Kluyveromyces lactis: one gene and its partners. The protein of the gene in region 5 purifies or fractionates together with the protein of the main gene of each other region. This does not show direct contact. Links are inferred from orthologs where the notes say so. Each region holds a gene or a part of one and is shown on either strand. Other genes may lie near its edges. The genes, in order: UTP7, PRP43, NOP13, UTP30, NOP58, RRP9 and UTP22.

Region 1 (3,473 bases), on a different chromosome or scaffold from region 5:
GTAATGTGTTGACAACGGTGTCATGGCCGGATGAATTGAAACCGTATCTGTTGATAACAGCATCATCCAAAGGTAATCTAAAGAATCTAGGTCTTGGGTTTCCTGGTTGTGGTAATGGAGTCACAGAACCAATCTCTATATAACCGAATCCTCCGGAAAGTATACCGTCGATGGCATCACCATTTTTATCCAAACCGGCAGCACAACCAATTGGATTGGTCAATTTCTTACCAAAAATGTTCACATTCAATACCTTATCATCGTTATCGAACCATAATCTTGGAGCCAACCCATTCTTCAAGAACCAGATACCTAATTTATGCCCATCTTCAGCATCTGGCGTTACAAGTCTCAACATCGGGCACAAGACGTACTCATGGAAAGCAGACCTCGAATTGGAGAAATAGAATCCCGCAAATGAACCAATGGCTATCCCAACAGTGTACTTCAAAAGCTTAGGGCCAGAAATGCCTGCTTTCAATGGGACCATGCCATTCTTGACAAAGAACTGCGATTGATTTAGCGTAAAAAGTTTCTTGCTCAAAATACGTGGGAACCCACTATTCATAGTTGATAAAAGCAAAATACGCGGTATTCGGAGTGACCTCTACTTGCCTATTCCAATCTTGTATAACAAGAGAAAAGAACAACGATACACGATCTAGCTCTCTATTCATTGCGGGAGGACCAAAACATTAGTTCAAGTTCTTCATTTTCATTTCATTTTTCAGTTAAGACTCGACGGAGTGTTTTCCGGAAACACATCTGTGAGGAACAAAAGTATGTGACTAGCAGATGCCTGGTGCAATTAGCTCAGAGGTCACCATTGCATATTAATTTGTACTTTGATTTAATTTCTTTTAGATACCTATCATATGTCTAGATGCATAGAAGGTAGTATACTACTTTACACCGGTACTACAGGATGCAGATCAAGTGAAAAATACTCAGGGAACTACTCTTAACTACTCTTTCAAGAAGAAATGATTGCTATTTTGGTTAGAAATCGTTTGGACTCATTGGGTTTGGTATTTATAACTGAATTTCCCCACGTTTTGGGCATGTACTATGCGCCGATTGATCTATTTATCAGTCATATACAATTCTTACTTGGTAATGTCTATCATTCTTCAGCTCAACTTAAGGATTTTTTCTTTTTTTCTCGAGTATCCAATATCGAAAATTTTAAGAAACGATGAGATGAGATGAGCTTCACAATATAAGGTTCTGCAAGTTTACTGCTACATCTTCTGATATCAGGTATCACTTCACGAGAAGCCGAATCAATATTCAATAATGGTTGCTAAGAAAGGTAGTAAGTCACAGTATAGTGACCTACAACGGAGAGACAATCAGGACAAATTTGAGAGATCGAATAACGATGATGATGCCAACGGGTCTCACAAGATGCAGAAGAAAACCAAGGATAAGAAGTTAAAGGCAGGATTGAAGCGTATTGATCAGAAGTATAAGGAAGCGGTACTCTCTACTGCTGCTACAGAATATCTTTTACCCGAAGAGCATGGTTATTTAGAAGCAGAAGATGAGATGGAAAAGACGTTCAAGTTCACACAGGCTGAAATCAAACACCATGTTGACGCCTCCATGGCCAATAAGGCATTGGACTTGAAATTAAACGATTTTGGTCCGTACCGTGTAAATTATTCCAGAAATGGTACGCATATGCTTATTGCAGGTCGGAAGGGCCATGTAGCATCTCTTGATTGGAGGAAAGGTGAACTTCGTGGTGAGCTAAATCTCGGGGAGACAGTGCAAGCAGCAACATATTTGCAAAATGAACAGTTCTTTGCAGTAGCACAAAAAAAATACACGTTCATTTACGATCATGAAGGTGTAGAGCTGCATCGTTTAAAGCAGCACATAGAGGTCAAACATTTAGAATATTTACCATATCATTATCTCTTGGCAACAGCAGGACAAACAGGTTTTTTGAAATATCAAGATGTTTCGACAGGTCAACTAGTATCAGAGATCAGAACTAAACTAGGTCCTACTACAGCGATGGCTCAGAACCCTTGGAATGCAGTAATGCATTTGGGACATAGCAACGGCACAGTCACTCTATGGTCACCATCAATGCCATCACCACTGGTAAGACTATTATCATCTAGAGGATCAATAACAGGAATTGCTGTAGATAGACAAGGTTATTATATGGCCACCACTGGTTCCGATAAATCTTTAAAGATTTGGGATATCAGAAACTTTAAAGAAGTACATAGTATTGAGAACATGCCTACGCCCGGTACTAACGTTGCAATTTCAGATACAGGTCTACTTGCAGTATCAAGAGGGCCTCATGTAACAATTTGGAAAGATACGTTGAAAAGTGGGAAAGCTGCTAGACCGTATTTCACCTCTAGCGGTTACAAAGATAGAAATACTCCGTATATGTCTCATTTATTCGCTGGAAATAAAATAGAGAACTTCCAGTTTGCGCCATTCGAAGATTTGCTAGGTGTTGGACATCAAAAGGGTATAACCAATTTGATTATTCCAGGCGCAGGGGAAGCCAACTACGACGCACTAGAGGCCAACCCATACGAAACAAGCAAACAGAGACAGGAACAAGAAGTGAGATCATTATTGAATAAGTTACCTGCTGATTCTATAACATTAAATCCAAACACAATAGGTACAGTAGATTCTCGTGCTTCTCAAGTCAGATTAAATGCAAAGGATCTTGCAATTATCTCGAATGCAGAGCAAGAAAAATCCAAACTAAACAAAGACATTCCTGATGCCAGACCTGATGTTAAAGGTAAGAACTCCGGATTACGTGCGTTCCTACGAAAGAAAACTCGTAATGTTGTGGATGAAAGGAAGTTAAGGGTACAAAGACAACTAGAGAAGGAAAAGTCTAGCCGCCAAAGAAAAGAAAAAATTAAGAAGGGTGAACTTGCTGATGATCACAAAGACCTTGTTGATGAAGCCTTATCAAGATTTTCTTGAATCATCAAGTAGTTATCAATATGTATACTTACATGAACACTTATATAATCTGTTATTATAGCCGGCTTAGTATCGACTGTTGCAAAAACATGTTTGAATTATTTGCATATAGATACGACTTAGTTTGAGGTGATTATTTACTGTACATTATGAAGGATGACCGCTATTGCTAGGACCTAATTTCTCGATTAAAATTCAAGAGAATCCTCGACTTTAAATGAAGATGGTAATGGGGCATATATATCTTTTGTTTGTCTTACGGTCTTGATTAATTCTAGTGGTTCTTCAGGTGTCTTATCCTCAACGATAATGACACCTGAGTTTCCTCTGAATTTGCGAACAGGTACAAAACGGCTATCTTTCGCAAAAGATATGAATTTGAGTTGCTGCGGAAGCACACGGGTGAGGTTTTCAACATCATAGCTCGTTGTCGTGTATTTGATCTTAGCTTCTTCAGTATTCTTGGCCTCTTCCTTCTTTTTTTCCTCCAGTTCCACCTC
Region 2 (4,105 bases), on a different chromosome or scaffold from region 5:
TGCAGCGATAGGAGTCCTGTCGAAACTCTTGAATTTCTTTTCCCAATCAGAACTCAATTCTCTAGCCAGTAGCCTGTCCAACTGTCTTGGAGGCATATAATTAGCACTGTTCTGAACTCTTGAAAGTATCGTGTATAATTGCGGAGGTAAAACCTTCTCATCCTGGAATGACATTAGTTGGCCCAACTTTAATGCTGCTCCTCTCATTTGAGAGAATTTATTTGCAATCCTTTCAACATTAGAATCTGATAACAGTAAATCTTTAAAACTTGATGATTGGCCACGACTCAGCTGAGTGATACTTTGAGATGCAGCAGAAATACCCACACTAGCAGCTAGGTGGCCGTAATGAAAAAGCCGAGAGATACGTGATGAAGGGACTTCTGAACTTTCCAGTTTATTAGCCTTTTGTTTGTTCACCAATTTATCCTCTGGAATAGCGTCAGCTGCTTTATTAGAACACCTGTGATAAGATGAAAAATGTCTCACATTTTTTTTGTTCTTGACTGAGCACTTGCTAAGGTGTGCTTTTTTAGAAGAGTGCCCTTTCGTAGATTTTCTGACGGATTCAGAAAGTTTACGGGCATGTTCCCAGTCCTTGTCGTAAAACCATTGAAATTTAGACAGTACCGGTCTTGTCAAAGTGGAAGTTTTTAGCCAAATATCAAGAGACTGTCTACCAATCGAGGCAGAATTTTTTACCACGTTGCAGAAGGACTCTGATAAACAGATAGCTTGATATAGCCCTTTTCTCGACATTGAATACAGCGATACTTCTCGATATCAATTAATTCAGCCGAAGAACTATCAGATATCACAAGATCAAAAATAAAGGGTGAAAGTATTTGATCTATCCAATGATACTACGAGTCAATGGTCAAATTCATGAATATACAGCGTAATAAGAATGGATTAAGACTCTGTCTTTACTTTATTACCTTTCCTTATTTCATGAGAGAGTCGAATCGTACAGATATCTTGCAGAATAATCCATCTTTTGAATTTCAAATAGATGCTTGTTTGCTTGCTTGCTCTTGCCATTCTAACCTTTGTTATCCGGGTAATGATGGAATTGCGATTTTGACATATGGACGTGTAGTTTTTTCTTTTTTAAAAATTTTAATGCAAATTGTAACATTAAGCTCATCTCATCTCATCTCATCTAGTGTAGTTCAATACTAGAGATAGTAGGTTAAGTGGTTATAAAATCCCCTGAATATTAGATACTACTGCTGAGTTTGGTTTACTCCGTTAGAGATTATTCGCATTACCAGTTGCAAAACATCAAACGTTGAGTAATTGACGATGGGCAAAAGAAGGTTTTCAAACGAGCATGTGTCTGCTGTTGAGACTTCTATTCCGGAGCATGCAGCTGAAATCGCAGAAAAATTAACCAAAGATCACCCTCCACCAGCAGCAGAGCCTTTAATTCATCATGATTCTGGTGAGTTCAGCGGGATGCAACGCCATCACACTACTGCGGCCGATGCCGAAAGATTGGAAAATGGATCAGTTAATCCATTCACTGGTGGCTCACTATCAGAGAAATATTTCGGTATTCTAAAGGTAAGAAGAGACTTGCCAGTGCACGCTCAAAGAGATGAATTCTTGAAGATCTATCAAGAAAACCAGATCATGGTTTTTGTTGGTGAAACGGGTTCCGGTAAGACCACTCAAATTCCTCAATTTGTGCTGTTCGATGAAATGCCACATTTACAAAATACTCAAGTTGCTTGTACGCAGCCTCGTAGGGTTGCTGCCATGTCTGTGGCACAGAGAGTTGCTGAAGAAATGGACGTCAAACTAGGCGAAGAAGTTGGTTATTCCATTAGATTCGAAAATAAGACCTCTAATAAAACTATCTTGAAATATATGACTGATGGTATGTTGTTAAGAGAAGCCATGGAAGACCATGACTTGAAACGTTACTCTTGTATCATTTTAGATGAAGCACACGAACGTACTTTGGCAACAGATATCTTGATGGGTCTTTTGAAACAGGTTATTGATCGTAGACCTGATTTGAAGATTATTATCATGTCTGCTACTTTAGATGCTGAGAAATTCCAAAGATACTTTAATAAGGCGCCACTTTTAGCTGTCCCTGGTAGGACACATCCAGTGGAGATCTACTATACACCAGAATTCCAAAGAGATTATTTGGATAGTGCTATAAGAACTGTTTTACAGATCCATGCTACGGAGGAGAAGGGTGACATTTTGTTATTCTTAACCGGTGAAGATGAGATTGAAGATGCTGTAAGGAAAATATCATTAGAAGGGGATCAGTTAATTAGAGAGCAAGGTTGTGGTCCTATCTCTGTATATCCATTATACGGTTCTTTGCCTCCACATCAACAACAGCGCATTTTTGAACCTGCTCCTGAATCCCATAATGGAAGACCTGGTAGAAAAGTCATTGTATCTACTAATATTGCAGAAACCTCTTTGACTATTGACGGTATTGTGTATGTTGTTGATCCTGGTTTCTCTAAGCAAAAAGTTTACAACCCAAGAATTAGAGTTGAATCCCTTTTGGTCTCTCCAATTTCAAAGGCATCAGCTCAACAAAGAGCTGGTAGAGCTGGTCGTACCAGACCTGGTAAGTGTTTCAGACTATATACTGAAGAAGCTTTCAAAAAGGAACTTATCGAGCAATCATATCCTGAAATTCTCCGTAGTAATCTTTCTTCGACAGTCTTAGAACTAAAGAAACTAGGCATTGACGATTTGGTGCATTTCGATTTCATGGACCCTCCTGCCCCAGAAACTATGATGAGAGCCTTAGAAGAATTAAACTTTTTGGCATGTTTAGATGACGATGGTAATTTAACACCTTTGGGTAGATTGGCTTCTCAATTCCCTCTTGATCCAATGCTTGCGGTAATGTTGATTGGATCCCCCGAATTTTCTTGTTCCGAAGAGATGCTAACGATTGTCGCCATGTTATCCGTACCTAGTGTTTTCATTCGTCCTTCGAAAGATAAGAAAAGATCAGATGACGCAAAGAACATATTTGCACATCCTGATGGCGACCACCTAACATTATTGAATGTCTACCATGCATTCAAGTCAGACGAAGCTTATGAGTACGGGATCAACAAGTGGTGCCGCGACAACTTTTTAAATTATAGATCTCTATCTGCTGCTGACAACATCCGCAACCAATTGGAAAGGTTGATGGTTCGTTACAATCTCGAGTTGAACACTACAGATTATGACTCCCCTAGATATTTCGATAACATTAGAAAAGCGTTAGCTGCAGGCTTCTTTATGCAGGTCGCAAAAAAACGATCTGGCGGAAAAGGTTATATCACAGTCAAAGATAACCAAGATGTTTTGATACATCCTTCAACTGTTTTGGGCCATGATGCCGAATGGGTTGTATACAATGAATTCGTTCTAACCTCCAAAAACTACATTAGAACTGTAACATCAGTTAGACCTGAATGGTTAATAGAATTAGCACCAGCTTATTATGACCTCGATCACTTCCAAAAAGGTGACATTAAACTATCGTTAGAAAGGGTAAAGCAAAAGCTCGATAAAATGGTGGAGCTACAACAAGAAAAAAAAAAAAGTGCGAAATCTAAAAAGTCTAAGAAATAACCAAGCATATAGATGTGTAACTTATATAATAAGATTAACCTTAGAATCAGCATGATAAGTCTTATTGTAGAAGTATTGTGCGGTATTATTAGCACGCGACTCAAAGTCTACGTTTTTTTTGCTGCATTTTATTGAAATTCGGTATGGTGTACGTTTTATATTCAACCCATAAGAACTTCGCTTATGATATTTCAGTGTAAAAAATATAAAATCAAATCTCTAGGAGTGGTTTCATTGCAATGGCGCATATAGTATCTGTGTTGCATATTTTCTTTTGTATCTAACGATGCTAGCAACACATAAAGTATTATGTTTAATAGAAGACGTTGCTAAATGATTAAGAACGACGTGGTTAGGAATTGGCAACGCACCTGAATTATTTTCACTACCTGGTTCAGCATTTTTGTTGTAATTATTGAGAATAACATTCTCCAACTGAGGTGGAAGTTGTGGAGGAGTTAACCATGACATATTTTGTTGATTGTTCTGTTGCTGG
Region 3 (2,978 bases), on a different chromosome or scaffold from region 5:
GGTACAACTGCTTTACGCTTGTAACGGTTTTTCGGTAAAAAAAATGATGTAGCAATCGACTTCACCCTTTCTCAAGCAACTAGCAACTTATGTATCGTCACCCACTACCTTATAAGTCCTGCCTTAGCGTCCCTTGATGGATGTATAGAGAAGTTGACGACGTTACCCTCGCCTATTTCTCCTTATGCAAGGCTTCTATTAGTAGACCTGCTTCAAGTTCTATATTTGTTTGCTGCTCTCGAATGCGTAAAAGAAAAAAAAAAAAGTCGTGCTCGCCGGTCGTGGAGAAGGATTCTCGAGACTGAGCGGTGAAGAAAAACAAGATGCAGCCTTCGACTTGCAGCAGAAGGATGATAACAGAGAACCTCAGTCCCATACGTCCTTCTATACTTTATTTTTGATAAGTATATATTCCTATGAGAGAATATAAATATGGGTATATGATCTATTTCGAACTAATATACAAGATTTTGATATATTTCATGTTTTCTTGACGCACATTAAAAAGTTGTCTTCTTACCTTGCGATGGCACAATGGCTGCAGATCCTCTTTGAGCAGAAGCCAATGCAACACTACTTTTCAAACGATTGTTAGAATCCTTGTGAGATGGTTGTCTATTGGAATAGGATGGTGCACGTCTTTCCCTAATTGGTGGTGGTGCTGCTGATGATGACGGTTGAGTCGTCTTTATGTCAAATGATGGCTTCCTTGGTTCCCTGGCATCTAACTCAGGTCTCCTTCTCACTTGTCTCTTTGATCTATCTTCACCGTATTCCATTCTAATAGGTCTGCTTGCAATCTTTCTACAACTTTTATCTTTAAGCGCATTGGTAGCACCTGTTTCGTCCTTAAAATCGATAAATGCAAACCCTTTACACTTACCAGTGTCTTCGAAAGTAGCCATTCTTATCCTCATAATTTCACCACAGTGTTGGAAGTGCTTCCTCAGTAGGTCTTCGGTAGTATCAAACGACAAATTACCAACAAATAGAATTCTGGATGGTGGGTTCTTTGATGCAGCTACTAGATCATTCTTATCTGGTCTTCCTTCATAACTGCCAGCGTTCTTGATGAGCAAGTTTCTTCCGTTTAGTGCACTTTCACTCAAACCAACTACAGCTTCCATTTGCTTCTCAGTTTTAAAATCAATGTAAGCAAAACCTTTATTTCTGAGTTTCTTGTTGTCATTCTTGGTCAATGGCATGTTTATTCTAACAATATCTTTCTCGGTAATAGCACCTCCTTCGTCATTCTCCTTTGTCTTTGCAACTATAAACCTAATTATATCTTCTTTCACGGTATCAAAAGCCATATTTCCAACCCAAACACCGAACTTCTTCTCCTTATTAGGTTTGGAAGTTATTTTTTCCTCCTCGACGTTGGTCTCCTCTGATGAACCTTCTTTTTTATTGGATGTATCTTCATTATCCTGTTTCTCGGCGGTTTCTTTCTTGTACTCTTCGATAGATTTCGAGTCAATGTTGTATTTAGCGTTTAATTCTTCAATTGTAACCTTACCTCTTCTCAATAAACGTTTCTGCTTTTTAGATAAAGGCACGGATTGGTTTAAATCAATTTCAATCTCATCTTCAGCCTTTCTCTTCTTGGTGGGGTCCTTTAAGACTTGACTTACAGCATCATCCACTTTTTTAACCTCTTTGCTGGAATCCGACATGTCGATTACTTTCGCTTATCTGAGTTCTTGTTCAACAATCTCAGTAGAAATGAAGGATCTACTTTGTAAAGGAGTCTGCAAGTATCTTTATACCATTTCAAGCTCATCTCATCTCATCTCATCTCAATGAATGTAAAATTTTCTGAACTAACGTTTAATTGCTTTTCAATAATGAGACTGGACAGAAATATCAATGAGTTTATGAAAAATATAACAGACAGGTGACAGTTTCTTTTGGATAGTAATTGGATGAACACTTCATTGCACCTCGTAGAATGTTAATGTTTCATTCTTAGAAGCAGTAAGTTTATGGTATTAAAATTAAGTTAATTATTAGTGACAATAGCATATTGTATTACAAAATTATATATATAAAAAGAGGAAAAATAAAATTAAACTTCACAAGTATTCATTACAATTGCTGGACGGGTATGAGCTGAAATAACAGATCAGTCAAACCTTAAGATCGGTGGCAGTTCCGGTTTTTTTGGGGGGTTTTTTACTTCTTCTTTTGGTATAAGTAAAGAACTTGCGTTCCTGTTTTGAAAGTCGTTGCTTGGGCAGTTCGGAATGTCATTTATCTAATAGAAATAACATTCAGCAAGCTTTCCCTTGCCTTGATGGGCCTTTATAAAAAAGGTGGCGCAAAGTTAGAATTAGTTGAATATTTTCTTTAACTTGGAGAAAAATCCCTTCTTTTTCTTCTTTTCTGGTTTTGCAGCAGTTTTAGTTGGAGTATTAGTACTGGTAGCATTGTTAGTTACCTTGTTGGCGGCATTGTTGGTAGTAGTCTTTGCTTCTTCAGCGGTCTTCTTCACATCTTCGGTGACGTTGTCAGCAATCTTAGTGTTGGCTTCAATAGCTTCATCAGCGATTTTTTCGACTTGTTCTTGAACTGCAGGGATAGAGTCCTTTGGAACTTCGCCTTCAGCAATTAGAAGTTCAGCTTCGCCTCCGATTTTTGGATCCAGTGTTCTTTGAACTAGTTCAGCTTCTTGTTCTGGAGAAGTGATAATACCTACTTCTTCTACGACATCAGAACCATCTGTGACCTGTGATTCGATGTGTGTATTCGGAATAGTAGCGTCTTGGGTTGGAACTGTTTCAGGTTCAGCAACGGCCTTTTCTTGCTCTAATTGTTCGGTTTGAACAGCTGGTTCAGTGGCAGATTGAATAACTGGAGCCACGTCATCAGTTGGGTTTTCTGCCGCAGCTGCAGTAGCTGCTGCAGTGACAGCTGCAGTTTCTTCTGCTTGCTGGTCCAAAGTTTCCTTTTTATCAGCTTCCTTCTCCTTCAATTCT
Region 4 (2,554 bases), on a different chromosome or scaffold from region 5:
ATTCACCAAAACTCTTATTGAACCGCCTTATGTTGTCATATTTGTGTAGGACATCTTCGGATCTAGGGAAAAAGCCTTGTTCTATTCTTTGATGCAGATATACTTCCTTAATGACAGCAAAACCCACACGGATAAGGTATAAAGTCAATGACAGTGATACAATAGCAGCGTAGGCACCAAGGTACACTCTCCGAAGGGCGAACATCGAATACCCAGCTAGGGAACTGCCATCGCTATAGATCATCTTATATATGCATGAAGTTTGCATACAGTGCCTATTTTAAGAATTCCATACATTTTTTTCATCAAAAATCTGTCAAAGTTCAAGATATACTGCTCAAGCCTCTTGAAGGAAAGGGCAGAAATTTAGCTGTTTCACATAGTACGGAAGGATTCACCAGTAATTACAACTATGTAATGATATGCTTATTTTTGAGAGGGTTCTATAATAGTATTTTTATTCTTAAATTAAAGTACATGTAAGACCAATTGGAGTTGTTTCATAGCCTAATTTCTTCATCGTCATCGATTGATTCTTGTTCTAGTTTCTTCCATATTGGTAAGCTCAGACTGTTGCTAGTCTTGACAAATATAGAGGAGATTTTCCCATCTTTGATGCACCCACCTTGTGGCTTTTTTGATCTGTCACACAGAAAGTCTATCACATCTTCTGCATTCGCCATTAATTCCGCCTCAGCATGTACGCCGATTTCCCCAATTTTAATGCTTAAACAGTTGTCTTTGTTTGGTAGAAACCAGGTATTCTTACATATGGACTTTACTTGTGCTTTCACGTATTTTGGGTCACAATCTTCCTTCATTTTGGAACCTTTCTCTTTAATTTGTTTTGACATTCTTACAACAAACGGCAGCTTTCTATTCGAACGGTAGAAAGTTGAGCCCAGGACACTTGGTAATAAATGGTGAACTCTGTAATCCGCTACTATCATGTCAAATTCATTATATAACTCTTTCAGTTTTTTACCTCTGAACCGTTGCTTCAGTTTCTTGACGCTGATAATTTCTTTGAATAATTCTGCCGTAGCCTTTTCCTTCGTCAACGAATCTCGATATAGCGTACTTGGGTCCTTACAGATCAGTAGAATTCGCACATCATTTGCAGATTTCATCTGGCTGTGTTTCAAAGGAATGATGCGGGGGACGTGGTCGTTTCTTATTCCAACAGGTTGTTGTGTATTGATGATCAAATGGATGCTGGTATCGTTAGCTAACTTGGGATCCACTTCACATTGTTTCGTCAAAGCTCGTAGAGCCTTGGTTGTAGCACCATCAGTATCTAATTCGATTGGCATAGCCCAATGTTCGCTGGTTTATCGAGAGTAGCAACAAACCTTTCTTTATTCTTTACATCCATGAGATGAGATGAGATGAGATGTCTCCATTTAGTAAAATTTTTGTAGTGAAATCAATTTCATAAAGAGTTATAAATGATAAATATCAAAAACGGACGTGAAAGCCACTCCGATGGTGCATAAATAAGACGCAACTTCAACGAAACCCTTCATGGTAAGCTGTAGCTTTGTATGTTCAGTAAAGATATACAGAAGATGTATTCGTTTGTTTCTTTCTAGAAGATATGATTTACATAGAGAGATAAAGGTTAAAAGTAAGTAAGATTAGAGTTTGAATAGAGAGATAGTTAAAGAAAATAACAGTAGCGGACAAAGCCAAACTTAACTTTTTTTCCTCCTAATAAATGTTTGGATCTGATGTTGATTATTCCTATTTTTTTTTTTATTTATTAAGTTTAATCGAACAATTCGCTGATGCTTGATGGCAATTCTTCAATTTGAGTAGAGTAGAATCTTTCCAATTCTCTCATAGCACCGATATCCTTATTGGTGACGAAGTTGATAGCAATACCCTTTCTACCGAAACGACCACCTCTACCGATTCTGTGGATATAGTTTTCCTTGTTGGATGGCAAGTCGTAGTTGATAACCAAAGAGACTTGTTGGACATCGATACCTCTAGCCAACAAATCAGTGGAGATCAAAATTCTTGAAGAACCACTTCTGAATTCCTTCATGATGGTGTCTCTTTCCTGTTGTTGCAAATCAGAGTAGATAGCAGAGACGGTGAAGTTGTTTTCTCTCAATCTTTCGGTCAATTCTTCGACCTTTCTTCTGGTGTTACAGAAAATAACAGCTTGGGTAACGGAGATAGAATCGTACAAATCGGTCAAACAGTCGTACTTGTATTGTTCTTCTTCAACGTTAACGTAGTATTGACCAATACCTTCCAAGGTCAATTCATCCTTCTTAACCAAGATTCTGACTGGGTCCTTCATGAACTTGGAAGTGACTTCCAAGACATCACCTGGCATGGTAGCAGACAACAAGACAACTTGGGAAGTTGGTGGCAACATGGTGAAAATGTTGTAGATTTGTTCCTTGAAACCAGTAGACAACATTTCATCGGCTTCATCCAAGATGAACATCTTGATGTTGTCAGTCTTGAAGATTCTACGGTCGATCATATCGAAAACACGACCTGGAGTACCAACAATGATTTGAGCACCACCTCTCAAAGC
Region 5 (3,493 bases):
CGGAGTAAATACAAAGAAACAGAAGGAAACAGTTGTCTTGGGAAAGAGTCTGAGTGATGTTCATCTACCATTAACAGAAATTCATTTAAAGTCACATGAATGGTTTGGTGATTTCATTACAAAACACGAAATACCACGGAAACTATTCCATTCATCTATTGGTTTTATTACCCTATATCTTTACACTCAAAATGTTGATTACAAGAAAGTGAAATTTCCATTGATAGTAGGATTTACTGTCGTATTTATTTTAGACTTCATTCGTCTACGTTCTCCATTCTTCAATAAAATGTATTGTCGTTGTGTTGGGGCATTGATGAGGAAAAAAGAAATTCATACGTATAATGGAGTCCTATGGTACTTATTGGGCCTGACTTTTGCGTTCTCCTTTTTTAGTAAAGATATCGCGTTAATCTCACTGTTCTTACTAAGTTGGTCAGATACCGCTGCGTCTACTTTCGGTAGAAAGTACGGACACCTTACACCAAAATTGGCCAGAAATAAGTCTTTAGCAGGTTCCATTGCAGCCTTTTCCGTTGGTCTCATAACTTGTTACTCATTTTACGGATTCTTTGTGCCTCATTATAACTGGGTGAACAAACCAGGTGAAATCTCCTGGACCGAAGAGACAAGCAAACTAAACCTACTACAACTTTCGCTATTAGGTGGTTTTGTCGCAGCTTTGAGTGAAGGTATCGACTTGTTTAACTGGGATGATAACTTCACTATTCCAGTTCTATCCGCCATTTTCATGACAGCTGTCATCCGCATTTTCAAGAATTGAGGAGAGCGGTGCGTAGAGGCACCATTTACCATTACCTAGTTTGTATTTTACTTTTCGTGTTCCCTCCTCTTACCTTTACACTGAGCAGGCTTTTATCAAAACCTTCCTCACTGATGATGTACCACTTTCAATGATCGCATATGAAATTCAATCCCTTTGAATATTTGACTATAACCGGAGAACTTAAGATAGACGGGAGGAAATGACAGTTAATGATCACATTTCACACCTACATTTTTTGTATACAAGTCAATTGATTTGGCACATATATTCTACATCTCACCTTATGTATAGACTTGAATAAATTAAAAACTACCAGCAAATATTGTTTAATATACAACGTCTAGTTTGATGCTTTTGTGAACCGTATTGGCCATTGGAATGTGCTTGGTCTCGATATATGAAGAACAAACAGTGCAGTTCTTTATCTGGTCCCTTTATAACACGTGATTTATATATGTGGTGTCCAGATGTGTTTTCTTTTCATTTCTTTTTGAAATTTAACTAACATTGAAAAATTTTCGACAAGCTCATCTCATCAGTATTGAACTACAGAATGGTATTAACGTTTCGATTGAAGAATTAAGCACATCCATCATATCTACGATATCTCAAAGAACCCGTTGAATAATTAGGATCATCTAGCAACATACACATAAAAGACTTTTTAGCGATGGCCTACGTCTTGACAGAAACCTCAGCTGGGTATGCTCTTTTGAAAGCATCTGACAAGAAGATCTATAAGTCCTCTTCTTTGATTCAGGATTTGAACAGCAGTGACAAGGTCTTGAACCAATTCAAGATTGCTGCTTTCTCTAAATTTTCATCAGCTGCAAATGCTTTGGAAGAAGCTAACTCTGTGATTGATGGTAAAGTCTCTTCCCAATTGGAAAAACTGTTGGAAGAATGCAAGACCGACAAAAAGGCCACCTTAGTTGTTTCTGAAACTAAATTGGCAAACGCTATCAACAAGTTGGGTTTGAACTTCAACGTTGTCTCTGATGCCGTCACCTTAGATATTTACCGTGCAGTCAAGGAGTACTTGCCAGAACTTTTGCCAGGTTTGAACGATCAAGATCTTTCCAAGATGTCATTGGGTTTGGCTCACTCCATCGGTCGTCACAAATTGAAGTTCTCTGCTGATAAAGTTGATGTTATGATCATCCAAGCTATTGCTTTGCTAGACGATCTAGATAAAGAATTAAACACTTACGCTATGAGATGTAAGGAATGGTACGGTTGGCATTTCCCAGAATTGGCCAAGATTGTTACTGATTCTGTTGCTTACGCCAGAATAATCTTGACCATGGGTATTAGAGTTAATGCTGCTGAAACTGACATGTCTGAAATTTTGCCTGAAGAAATTGAAGAGAGAGTCAAGACCGCTGCCGAAGTCTCCATGGGTACTGAAATTACCCCAGTTGATTTGATTAATATCAAGTGTTTAGCCGAACAAATTGTTGAATTTGCTGCCTACAGAGAACAACTTTCTAACTATTTGTCTTCAAGAATGAAGGCTATTGCTCCAAATTTGACTCAATTAGTTGGTGAATTGGTTGGTGCTAGATTGATCGCACACTCTGGTTCTTTAATCTCTTTGGCCAAGTCTCCAGCTTCCACCATCCAAATCTTGGGTGCTGAAAAGGCTCTTTTCAGAGCATTGAAAACTAAGCATGACACTCCTAAATATGGTCTATTGTACCACGCTTCCTTGGTTGGCCAAGCATCTGGTAAGAACAAGGGTAAGATTGCCAGAGTTTTGGCTGCTAAGGCTGCCGTTTCTTTGCGTTACGATGCTTTGGCTGAAGATAGAGACGATTCTGGTGACATCGGTTTGGAATCCAGAGCTAAGGTAGAATCAAGATTGTCCCAATTAGAAGGCAGAGACTTGAGAACCACACCAAAGGTCGTCCGTGAGCACAAGAAGACTGAAATCACAGAGGCTAGAGCATACAACGCAGATGCTGACACCGTGTCTTCAGCTGCTGCTCCTGCTGACTCTGATGATGAATCCGAGGACGAGGAAGAAACCAAGGAAGAAAAGAAATCTAAGAAGGATAAGAAGGATAAGAAGAGAAAGAGAGACGATGATGAAGAGTCTAAGGAATCTAAGAAGTCTAAGAAGGAGAAGAAAGACAAGAAGGAAAAGAAGGAAAAGAAGGAAAAGAAAGAAAAAAAGGATAAGAAATCTAAGAAGGAAAAGAAATAGATATAGTATTCACATTAAAACCCCACTCTTTTGCATTAAATCTCTAATAACCTCGTATAAATCTGTTCCATTACATACGAACATACTATGTGTGTACCTCTGTAAATTAGTCTGTATCAAATTCAAACAAAATATAATAATTGAATTATTGTCATACGCTGTACTCTTCTTCTCATTGTCATCGTCAATGGCTTTGATAGTTACATCAAAATATTCACTGATGAAAATGTTGAAATATACAATTCTTAAATTCGGACAAGTTGGCGATGAGATGAGGCAGAAAGAAAGCAACAGGATTTGATAATAAGGATATTCGACCACAATACGAATTCTACGAGGCATACAGTTACTTCAAAGCCATGGGTAAGATTACTTCTATATCTTTGGAAGAAACAAATCGAATTAGGGCAAGTTTAGGTTTGAAGACTATACCTAGGCCCACTGAGACGTCAACAGAATCAAAAGAAGGTGCATCTGATACAAATAGGAAAGTACGAAGA
Region 6 (3,381 bases), on a different chromosome or scaffold from region 5:
TGCCTCAACAGAATCAGCCGGGAAATGATGATGAAGACATTGAATTTTTAAAATACGATGATATTTTCAATTCATTCAACCCCCTAGGTATCAAATCCTTATTCTTCTCAAGCTTTGGTGATCCGTGTATGTTTGGTCATGATAATGTTTTGTTAATTCTGTCCAAATGGAGAAGTGGTAGTGACGCGAGATGGGTACCCATAGTTGATACCAATTTAGAACTTTGGAAGATGTCAGGGGGTAAGCATCCGAAGAACGTCCACGTTTGGCCATTAGGATTAAACTTCGATACATTTTCGTATTTATTATTGAAGGGGAAGAACGCATGGCCAGATATCCCAATGACCGTTCCTACAGAAATGGAAGTCAGAATCCCAGTTGTATCAAAATCCGAGCTTCAAAAGACACAAGACGATAATCGTAACGACAGCAGCGATGTGGAAGATATTGATAACAGTAATGGTGTCGAAATTCCAATGTACCTAGCAGCAGAAGAGGAATTTCTACGCTCCAAGATACTAAGTGATTTACTAAAAGACACGATGGATAATGAAGGTGAGATATACGGAAATGAAACAGATCTATTACAGCATCTGGTAGCAACACATGATAAGTCCTTACTACGACTTTTAGCTTATGTCTGTTCCGAGCAAGATGTTAACAAGGCCGTTTCAATCGTCAACGAACTGAAGCAAGATAAGGCCCTATCTGCTGCAAGAAAAATTGCAGAAAGAGCTGAACTACTTCCACTAGTAAGAAAAATCAACACGATTATTGAGGCCAAATTTGAGGCCGATTTCAATAATATATGATAATCCCCTGTTCTTCTTATCTGGACTAGAATAAGTATTGTCAGTTTAAATAATAATTGATTTTCCGATCCGTGCATTGACGTTCATTTTCTGCCGTAATGTAAATTAAACTAAGTAATTCTAGCAATACCAATGAAATCAGGCATATAGGTCGTTGAATCGAGTAAAGTCTTCCAAACTATTATTTAATTCTGTTGCAAGTTCATGCATTCTTCAATTTTTGTCACTTTTCAAGTGGTGTCGTTTCTTTTACAAATTGGCGATACTGAAAAAAAAATTGTACATCTGAACCAACATCATTGAAACAGGCGATGAGCTGCAACTAAACCAGACGAGACAGCAACCAGAGGGCCACCAAGTACACCATGGCTAGATCTAGTACAAGCAATGTCTCAAAAAAACGTAATAGGGATTCTGTCGAAGAGGTAGATGAGGAAATCACGGATATTTCTTCTGATGAAGGTGATGTCCAAGATGAATCCAATGATGGCGATGAGGTAGCAGAATACTTGGAATCTGAAGACGAGTTTGAAGGCGAAAACCCTGCTGATAAGAGAAGAAGATTGGCTAAACAATATTTAGAGAATTTAAAGGCTGAAGCTGAAGATATTGGCGATTCTCTGGCGACCGCAAGCACTGAACAGGACCGTCAAACACAATTAGAGGATTACAATAACTTTGATGCTCGTGACTTGGACAGAGATATCATTGCTTCCAGATTGAAACAAGATGTTGCAGAGCAACAAGGGCGTATCTATAGATGGATTTCAAATAAGCTTTTGATAGGTGAATCCAGAACAACGTTTACAAGAGTAGGCGAAAATAATCTAACATGTATTTCGTGTTATCAACCCTCAGTTAACAAGTTTTCTCATAAAGATGTTCAAAATAAGAGCAAGGACAAAATATTTGCTTACACTGTTAGCAAGGACATGCAATTAACAAAATATGATGTTACTGATTTCAAAGCTAGACCAAAAAAAGTGAAATATGTTAAAGGTGGTAGAAAATACATACCGGAAGGTAAATTTGAGTACGAGAATGTGACAGAAGGTCATTACGATGAAATCTTAACGGTGGCAGCTTCTCCTGATGGTAAATACGTAGTTAGTGGTGGTCGTGACCGTAAACTGATAGTATGGAGTACCGAATCTTTAGCCCCTGTGAAAATTATTCCAACCAAAGATCGTAGAGGTGAGGTTTTAGGATTAGCATTCAAGAAGAATTCGGATCAATTATTCGCAGCATGTGCCGATTACAAAATCAGAACGTATGCTATTAACCAGTTTTCTCAACTGGAAATATTATACGGTCATCAGGATTTGGTTATTGATATCTCTGCCCTAAATATGGAGCGTTGTGTGACAGTGGGGTCCAGGGATCGTACCGCTATGTTGTGGAAAATAGCTGACGAATCCAGATTGACATTCAGAGGTGGTGATGATCCTGAAAGACTGAGGAAAAAATGGTTGAAGAACCAACAATTGTCCGCAGAAGGCGGAGAAGATATGCATGAACAGACCCCACCTCACTTTTATGGCGAGGGAAGTATCGATTGTATTAGCATGGTAGATGATTCACATTTCGTTACTGGCTCTGATAACGGAAATATATCATTATGGTCTTTATCCAAAAAGAAACCTCTTTTCACCGTTAGAACTGCTCATGGTGTTGTACCATTAGTTGAGGATAAAAAAATCTCTGGGGAAGTGAGCGATGAATTACGCAATGCACAATTACAAGGTGGATCCATTGCCCAACCATTTTGGATAACATCATTATACGCCGTTCCATATTCTGATATTTTCATTTCAGGATCCTGGAATGGAACCCTGAAGGTATGGAAAATCAATGAGAACTTAAGAGCATTTGAACTATTAGGAGACTTACCTAACTGTAAAGGTGTGGTAACCAAAATTCAAGCCGTAGAATCCGGCAGAACCGGTAGAGAAACCTTCAGAATTCTAGCAAGTGTCAGTAAAGAACATAGATTAGGAAGATGGATTAGCAAGGTACCAGGTGCAAGAAATGGTATCTTTTCTGCTGTGATAGAACAAACCGGATTCTAGTTAATCTTATCAATAGAAAAATCTCCTGTATAGTAAAAAGAAGAATACTTTAATAAAGCCGAAATACATTAGTAATTGTTACAAGGGTATATATTTATATATAGAGAGCTCTAACCGATCAATGATGTAGAGAACTAGGAAAGGATTAATAGAAATCATTGTGACATGATTTTGAGTAGTGTCTTTCATTGTCAGCCATGATAAAATAAGGTGTTAGAGAACGAATTTGAGAACAGATAAGATTTAATTCACATAGCCAGCGACGTAGAGAATTAAATGCGGGAACATCAAAGGAATAGCTCAAAGGATTAAAGGAAAAGATCGGGAAAAGTCAAATGGATTTTTTTATTTTAAGTATTAAGCGTTCCTCATGTTCTTGTAAACAAGCAAGGAACGAAAGAGTAATAAACAACACAAATCGTCTCAAGAGAAAGCAAACAACTCCCAAAGTAAAGGAATCATAGGAAGGCCAAAGCAATACCAGCGGCAGCACCAATCAA
Region 7 (4,150 bases), on a different chromosome or scaffold from region 5:
TATGGACCAGTCATTGCTTTTGTTCGGGATAAAACTCTCTAGTCCCGCTAGTCTCAATTGTCCAATTAAACAGTAAACCCATCTGTTAAATTGGTCCTTTGACTTCACTTGTTGTAGATGAACAGACGTCTTGTCTTGGAACCTGGAAAAGTCATCAAAGCTTTATATTCGCTGTCACACGAGTTGTTATTCTTCTTGGAATAACTAAACAACAGACTGCTTCGATATCTGTATTCCCTATCAAACACTTCGTAAGTACTTCCTCCAAATATCTCTCTCTCGGGATCTAAGTCTGAGTATGGGTTAACATTTTTATCCTCTTTTAAACTCTGTTTAGGAGCACTACCATCACTAACGATATCGAGTCTTTGTATATCTTCACAGATACCTCTTGTCGGATCATTACTTCCTTGCGGAGACTCAGTGACGCTGCCATGTAGGTGATCCTGGTTGTCGCAGTCACAGTCACGTGTAATTAATTCAAAACCTTCGGTATCAGATGAATCCATAGTGTTTACTAGCTATATATAGCTAGTGTGTTGATGCACCTGGCGATCTGTCATGACTGTGTTGATGGTCTTTCCCCAGATCTATGGCCTCTTTATATAATAACTCAGATTGGTTAATGATGTTTCATGTTGATACTTGACCGTCTATTGTTTCTAATCCGTCTCAACAGATAACCCGCCGAATGATCTAAAAAATCTGTAAAATTTGTAATAGATTTCGTGCCTCCTTAGCTTAGTGGTAGAGCGTTGCACTTGTAATGCAAAGGTCGCTAGTTCAATTCTGGCAGGTGGCATTCATCTTTTTCAATATCCAATCTGACCTTCCTCGAATCTATTTTTTTTTTCTTAAAGTAACATTGTGCACTAAAACTAGCAATACGGTACGTCTAAAACCATGTATTCCCTATATTACTACATATCGGGATAGTACCAGTTCCAGCACTTGAGTTGGACTTGGCTTTAGTCCAGTATGACTCTATGTATCTGACTATCTAACTGATTATTCAGAGAGACTGAGATTGGACACGTCGTATAAAGTGACAGACGCATCAAAATCCTTCACATCGAATTTTGGAAAAATTTGCCAGGCGATGAGCTTTAAAGGTTTAAAGAATTCGCATTTACATAGAATGAACGTACCCATAGGCAGGTTTATCACAGTGATTTTGTTTGGATTTCCCTCGTATTAGTTTGCTAGATATTAAAAGGGTAATTCTCTTCTGTTTTGGCTAGGGGAAATTGAAACCCTAGGACTCGGGCACTGGCTATCATTCTGTATTATAATCAATCCAGAGGCGCAAACGGTCAGGAACTAGTGAATTAAGTGGATATTTAGTGAACTATGGCCTCTGTGAAACGTGTAGCACCAGATGGTGAGAAGTCCAGGAATGGTAGTTTCACCAAGAAGGCGCTTGTAAAAGCTATTACTGGCTCACAGGCTGAAAATGACAGTGACAAGACTGGTTCTTCTTCTTCTGGAGAAGAAGAAGAAGAAAGAGAGGAAGAGGCTACTGCCTCTTCCAGCGGGGAAGAAGACGAGGAAGAGGAAAACACACATGACCATAAGGCTAAGAAGCCAAAGTTGAGCTCCCAGGATATACAAATAGCGAGAGAAACGGCTGAACTCTTCAAATCGAACATTTTCAAATTACAAATCGATGAGTTATTGGAACAAGTGAAGTTGAAGGACTCACACATCGTAAGGGTGGAGAAGTTTTTGCATAAACTATATGATATGATACAGGAAGTACCGGAATGGACTCCGCAAAGCTTAGAAGATGTAGAGAAATATTTCCATGGGAAAGTGGTATCAGTTCCGTTTGTGGATCCAAAACCACAAGCGAAGAACACACAGTACAAATTCAATTATTTAAAGCCGGACGTGAGTTTAATTGGATCATTCGGGTTGAAGACTGCCATCTACCAACCTCAGGGCTCCGCAGTAGACGTTTTGTTGACTATGCCTGAGCAGTTGTTCGAAAAGAAAGATTTCTTGAATTTTAGATGTTTCCACAAGCGTTCAGTATACCTCGCGTATTTGACTCATCATATCTCACTCGTCCTGAAAAGAAGCCAGCTGGATTTCTTACACTTGGAATATTCATACTTTAACAACGATCCTTTACAAACGGTATTAAAGATAAGTTGTAAGGAGAAAACTTCATCGGACTATAATTTCTACAAGACTAAATTCAGCATAAACTTGATCGTGGGGTTCCCATACAATTTCTTCGAATCAAAGAAGTTGCTACCCAATAAGAACTGTATCAGAGTCGGTCAGGATAACGAAACTCCGACACCTTTCTACAATTTCTCGGTATTATCATCTTCTTGTCACGAACACTATTTGAAGTACTTACACAAATCAAAGAAACAAACAGAACAGTTTAAACAGGCTTGTATTTTGGGGAAGCTATGGTTATCTCAGAGAGGCTTCTCATCAAATATGTCTCATTCAGATGCGTTGGGTGGTTTTGGAAATTTCGAGTTTGCCACGTTGATGGCAGCCCTACTAAATGGTGGTGGGTTGAATGGTAACAGAATTTTATTGCATGGGTTCTCATCTTACCAATTATTCAAAGGTGTAATCAAATATTTGGCCACAATGGATCTTTGTACTGATGGGTACTTACAATTCTATTCCGACTATAGCACTACTGCAACTGTCACTTCCTCAAAATACGTTGAAGAAGGTTTCCAAACACCTACAATCTTTGATAAAACCACCAAAGTTAACATACTGAGTAAAATGTCTGTTAACAGCTATCAAATGCTAAAGATCTACGCGCAAGAAAGTTTATTGATGTTGAATGACGTCGTCAGAGATCAGTTCGAAAACATGTTCTTAACTAACTTAAACAAGATCAAGACAGTGAAATATGATGCTTACTATGATTTAGATATCCCATCCATCAATTTACTACTGTCCAAGTTCGGTCCCGTTGAAAAGATTAGCTTTATATCATTCGAAAATTTCATCTGCAATAAAGTATCGAACATCGTGAAGATTGCCCTTGAGGATAGAATCAAAGCTTTTGAAGTGGCTCTAGTTAACAATAGATCTACTTTCCCAGTAACAAAGAGAAAAGTTGCTGCTGTTCCAAATTTCACTTCAATCCAAATTAAACTGTTGATCAACCCTGCAGAATGTGAGAAGCTTGTGACTAAGGGCCCAGAGAACACAGAAGAATTAACTAATGAAGCTAATGAATTCAAGATTTTTTGGGGTAAAAAAGCATCTCTTCGTAGATTCAAGGACGGTTCCATTGCAAACTGCTGTGTCTGGTCAACTTCTGCTATTGAAAGTGTTGTTTCTTCGATTTTGTCCTATGTTCTAAGGCTACATTTGACTGAAGACTGCAAACTCATCAATAATTCCACTAGCCAATTCCAACAGTTGTTACCACTACCGAACCTACCTGCATCTTCAAAGACATCAGTTCTAAACCTATCAAGCTACTATAACTTGAAGAAGTCCTTTGACGATTTGTATAAAATCATGTTCGAGCTAAAACTCCCATTATCAATTAAATCTCTTTTACCTATTGGTTCTGCATTCAGGTACACATCATTATGTCAGCCTGTCCCATACGCATATTCTAATCCTGATTTCTTACAAGACGTTGTTATCGAATTCGAAACGTCTACAAAATGGCCTGACGAAATTACTTCGTTGGAAAAGGCTAAAGCTGCATTTTTATTGAAGATTCAAGAATCCATCACGCAGACTCATAGTGAGTACAAGTGCTACTTTACACGTGATGAATCGATTCCATACAACTTGGAAATAGTTACTCTAAACATTTTGACTCCAGAAGGATACGGTTTCAAGTTTAGAGTTCTAACTGAGAGAGACGAAGTTATGTATTTGAGAGCAATTAACAACGCAAGAAAAGAACTAAGACCAGAGCTGGAAAAGACATTCTTGAAATTTACTGCCAAGTACCAAGCTGCTATTAGACATACTAGAACTTTGGAAAACATTTCCCATAGTTACCCATTCTACTCTCCAGTGGTAAGACTATTTAAGAAATGGCTAGATTCTCATCTCTTATATGGCCATTTGTCAGAAGAATTGATTGAGCTTATTGCCATTAAGCCATTTGTAGAGCCACGTCCATTCACCATGCCAGGTTCCGTTG

The links.
Region 1: the proteins of NOP58 (region 5) and UTP7 purify together in Saccharomyces cerevisiae (affinity purification with mass spectrometry, with the first as the bait; 3 studies listed by BioGRID). This does not show direct contact. The link is inferred for Kluyveromyces lactis from reciprocal best matches to the Saccharomyces cerevisiae genes NOP58 and UTP7.
Region 2: the proteins of NOP58 (region 5) and PRP43 purify together in Saccharomyces cerevisiae (affinity purification with mass spectrometry; 6 studies listed by BioGRID). This does not show direct contact. The link is inferred for Kluyveromyces lactis from reciprocal best matches to the Saccharomyces cerevisiae genes NOP58 and PRP43.
Region 3: the proteins of NOP58 (region 5) and NOP13 purify together in Saccharomyces cerevisiae (affinity purification with mass spectrometry; 3 studies listed by BioGRID). This does not show direct contact. The link is inferred for Kluyveromyces lactis from reciprocal best matches to the Saccharomyces cerevisiae genes NOP58 and NOP13.
Region 4: the proteins of NOP58 (region 5) and UTP30 purify together in Saccharomyces cerevisiae (affinity purification with mass spectrometry, with the first as the bait; 4 studies listed by BioGRID). This does not show direct contact. The link is inferred for Kluyveromyces lactis from reciprocal best matches to the Saccharomyces cerevisiae genes NOP58 and UTP30.
Region 6: the proteins of NOP58 (region 5) and RRP9 purify together in Saccharomyces cerevisiae (affinity purification with mass spectrometry; 6 studies listed by BioGRID). This does not show direct contact. The link is inferred for Kluyveromyces lactis from reciprocal best matches to the Saccharomyces cerevisiae genes NOP58 and RRP9.
Region 7: the proteins of NOP58 (region 5) and UTP22 purify together in Saccharomyces cerevisiae (affinity purification with mass spectrometry; 4 studies listed by BioGRID). This does not show direct contact. The link is inferred for Kluyveromyces lactis from reciprocal best matches to the Saccharomyces cerevisiae genes NOP58 and UTP22.

The regions. Positions count from the first base shown.
Region 1 is NC_006039.1:804,216-807,688, forward strand, and holds UTP7 (Utp7p), read left to right. Parts: upstream 1-1,296; coding exon 1,297-2,973; downstream 2,974-3,473. Other genes in the region: KLLA0_C09240g (dihydroorotate dehydrogenase 2), read right to left, coding at 1-568; proteasome regulatory particle base subunit RPN2, read right to left, coding at 3,162-3,473. UniProt on the Saccharomyces cerevisiae protein: Involved in nucleolar processing of pre-18S ribosomal RNA.
Region 2 is NC_006038.1:40,979-45,083, forward strand, and holds PRP43 (DEAH-box ATP-dependent RNA helicase PRP43), read left to right. Parts: upstream 1-1,305; coding exon 1,306-3,609; downstream 3,610-4,105. Other genes in the region: protein kinase COQ8, read right to left, coding at 1-759; KLLA0_B00583g (protein kinase subunit beta), read right to left, coding at 3,841-4,105. UniProt on the Saccharomyces cerevisiae protein: Pre-mRNA processing factor involved in disassembly of spliceosomes after the release of mature mRNA.
Region 3 is NC_006040.1:698,850-701,827, reverse strand, and holds NOP13 (Nop13p), read right to left. Parts: upstream 1,677-2,978; coding exon 501-1,676; downstream 1-500. Other genes in the region: MDG1 (Mdg1p), read right to left, coding at 2,333-2,978.
Region 4 is NC_006037.1:536,648-539,201, reverse strand, and holds UTP30 (Utp30p), read right to left. Parts: upstream 1,314-2,554; coding exon 501-1,313; downstream 1-500. Other genes in the region: KLLA0_A05775g (glycosyltransferase family 15 protein), read right to left, coding at 1-268; KLLA0_A05731g (uncharacterized protein), read right to left, coding at 1,769-2,554. UniProt on the Saccharomyces cerevisiae protein: Involved in rRNA-processing and ribosome biosynthesis.
Region 5 is NC_006042.1:801,123-804,615, reverse strand, and holds NOP58 (RNA-processing protein NOP58), read left to right. Parts: upstream 1-1,457; coding exon 1,458-2,993; downstream 2,994-3,493. Other genes in the region: DGK1 (diacylglycerol kinase), read left to right, coding at 1-784; U4/U6-U5 snRNP complex subunit SNU66, read left to right, coding at 3,353-3,493. UniProt on the Saccharomyces cerevisiae protein: Required for pre-18S rRNA processing. May bind microtubules.
Region 6 is NC_006038.1:970,261-973,641, reverse strand, and holds RRP9 (ribosomal RNA-processing protein RRP9), read left to right. Parts: upstream 1-1,177; coding exon 1,178-2,881; downstream 2,882-3,381. Other genes in the region: chromatin-binding protein CTF4, read left to right, coding at 1-812; KLLA0_B11055g (uncharacterized protein), read right to left, coding at 3,340-3,381. UniProt on the Saccharomyces cerevisiae protein: Involved in nucleolar processing of pre-18S ribosomal RNA. Required for efficient pre-rRNA cleavage at sites A0, A1 and A2, and biosynthesis of 18S rRNA.
Region 7 is NC_006040.1:1,246,641-1,250,790, forward strand, and holds the start of UTP22 (rRNA-processing protein UTP22), read left to right. Parts: upstream 1-1,350; coding exon 1,351-4,150. Other genes in the region: KLLA0_D14762g (uncharacterized protein), read right to left, coding at 105-509. UniProt on the Saccharomyces cerevisiae protein: Involved in nucleolar processing of pre-18S ribosomal RNA and ribosome assembly.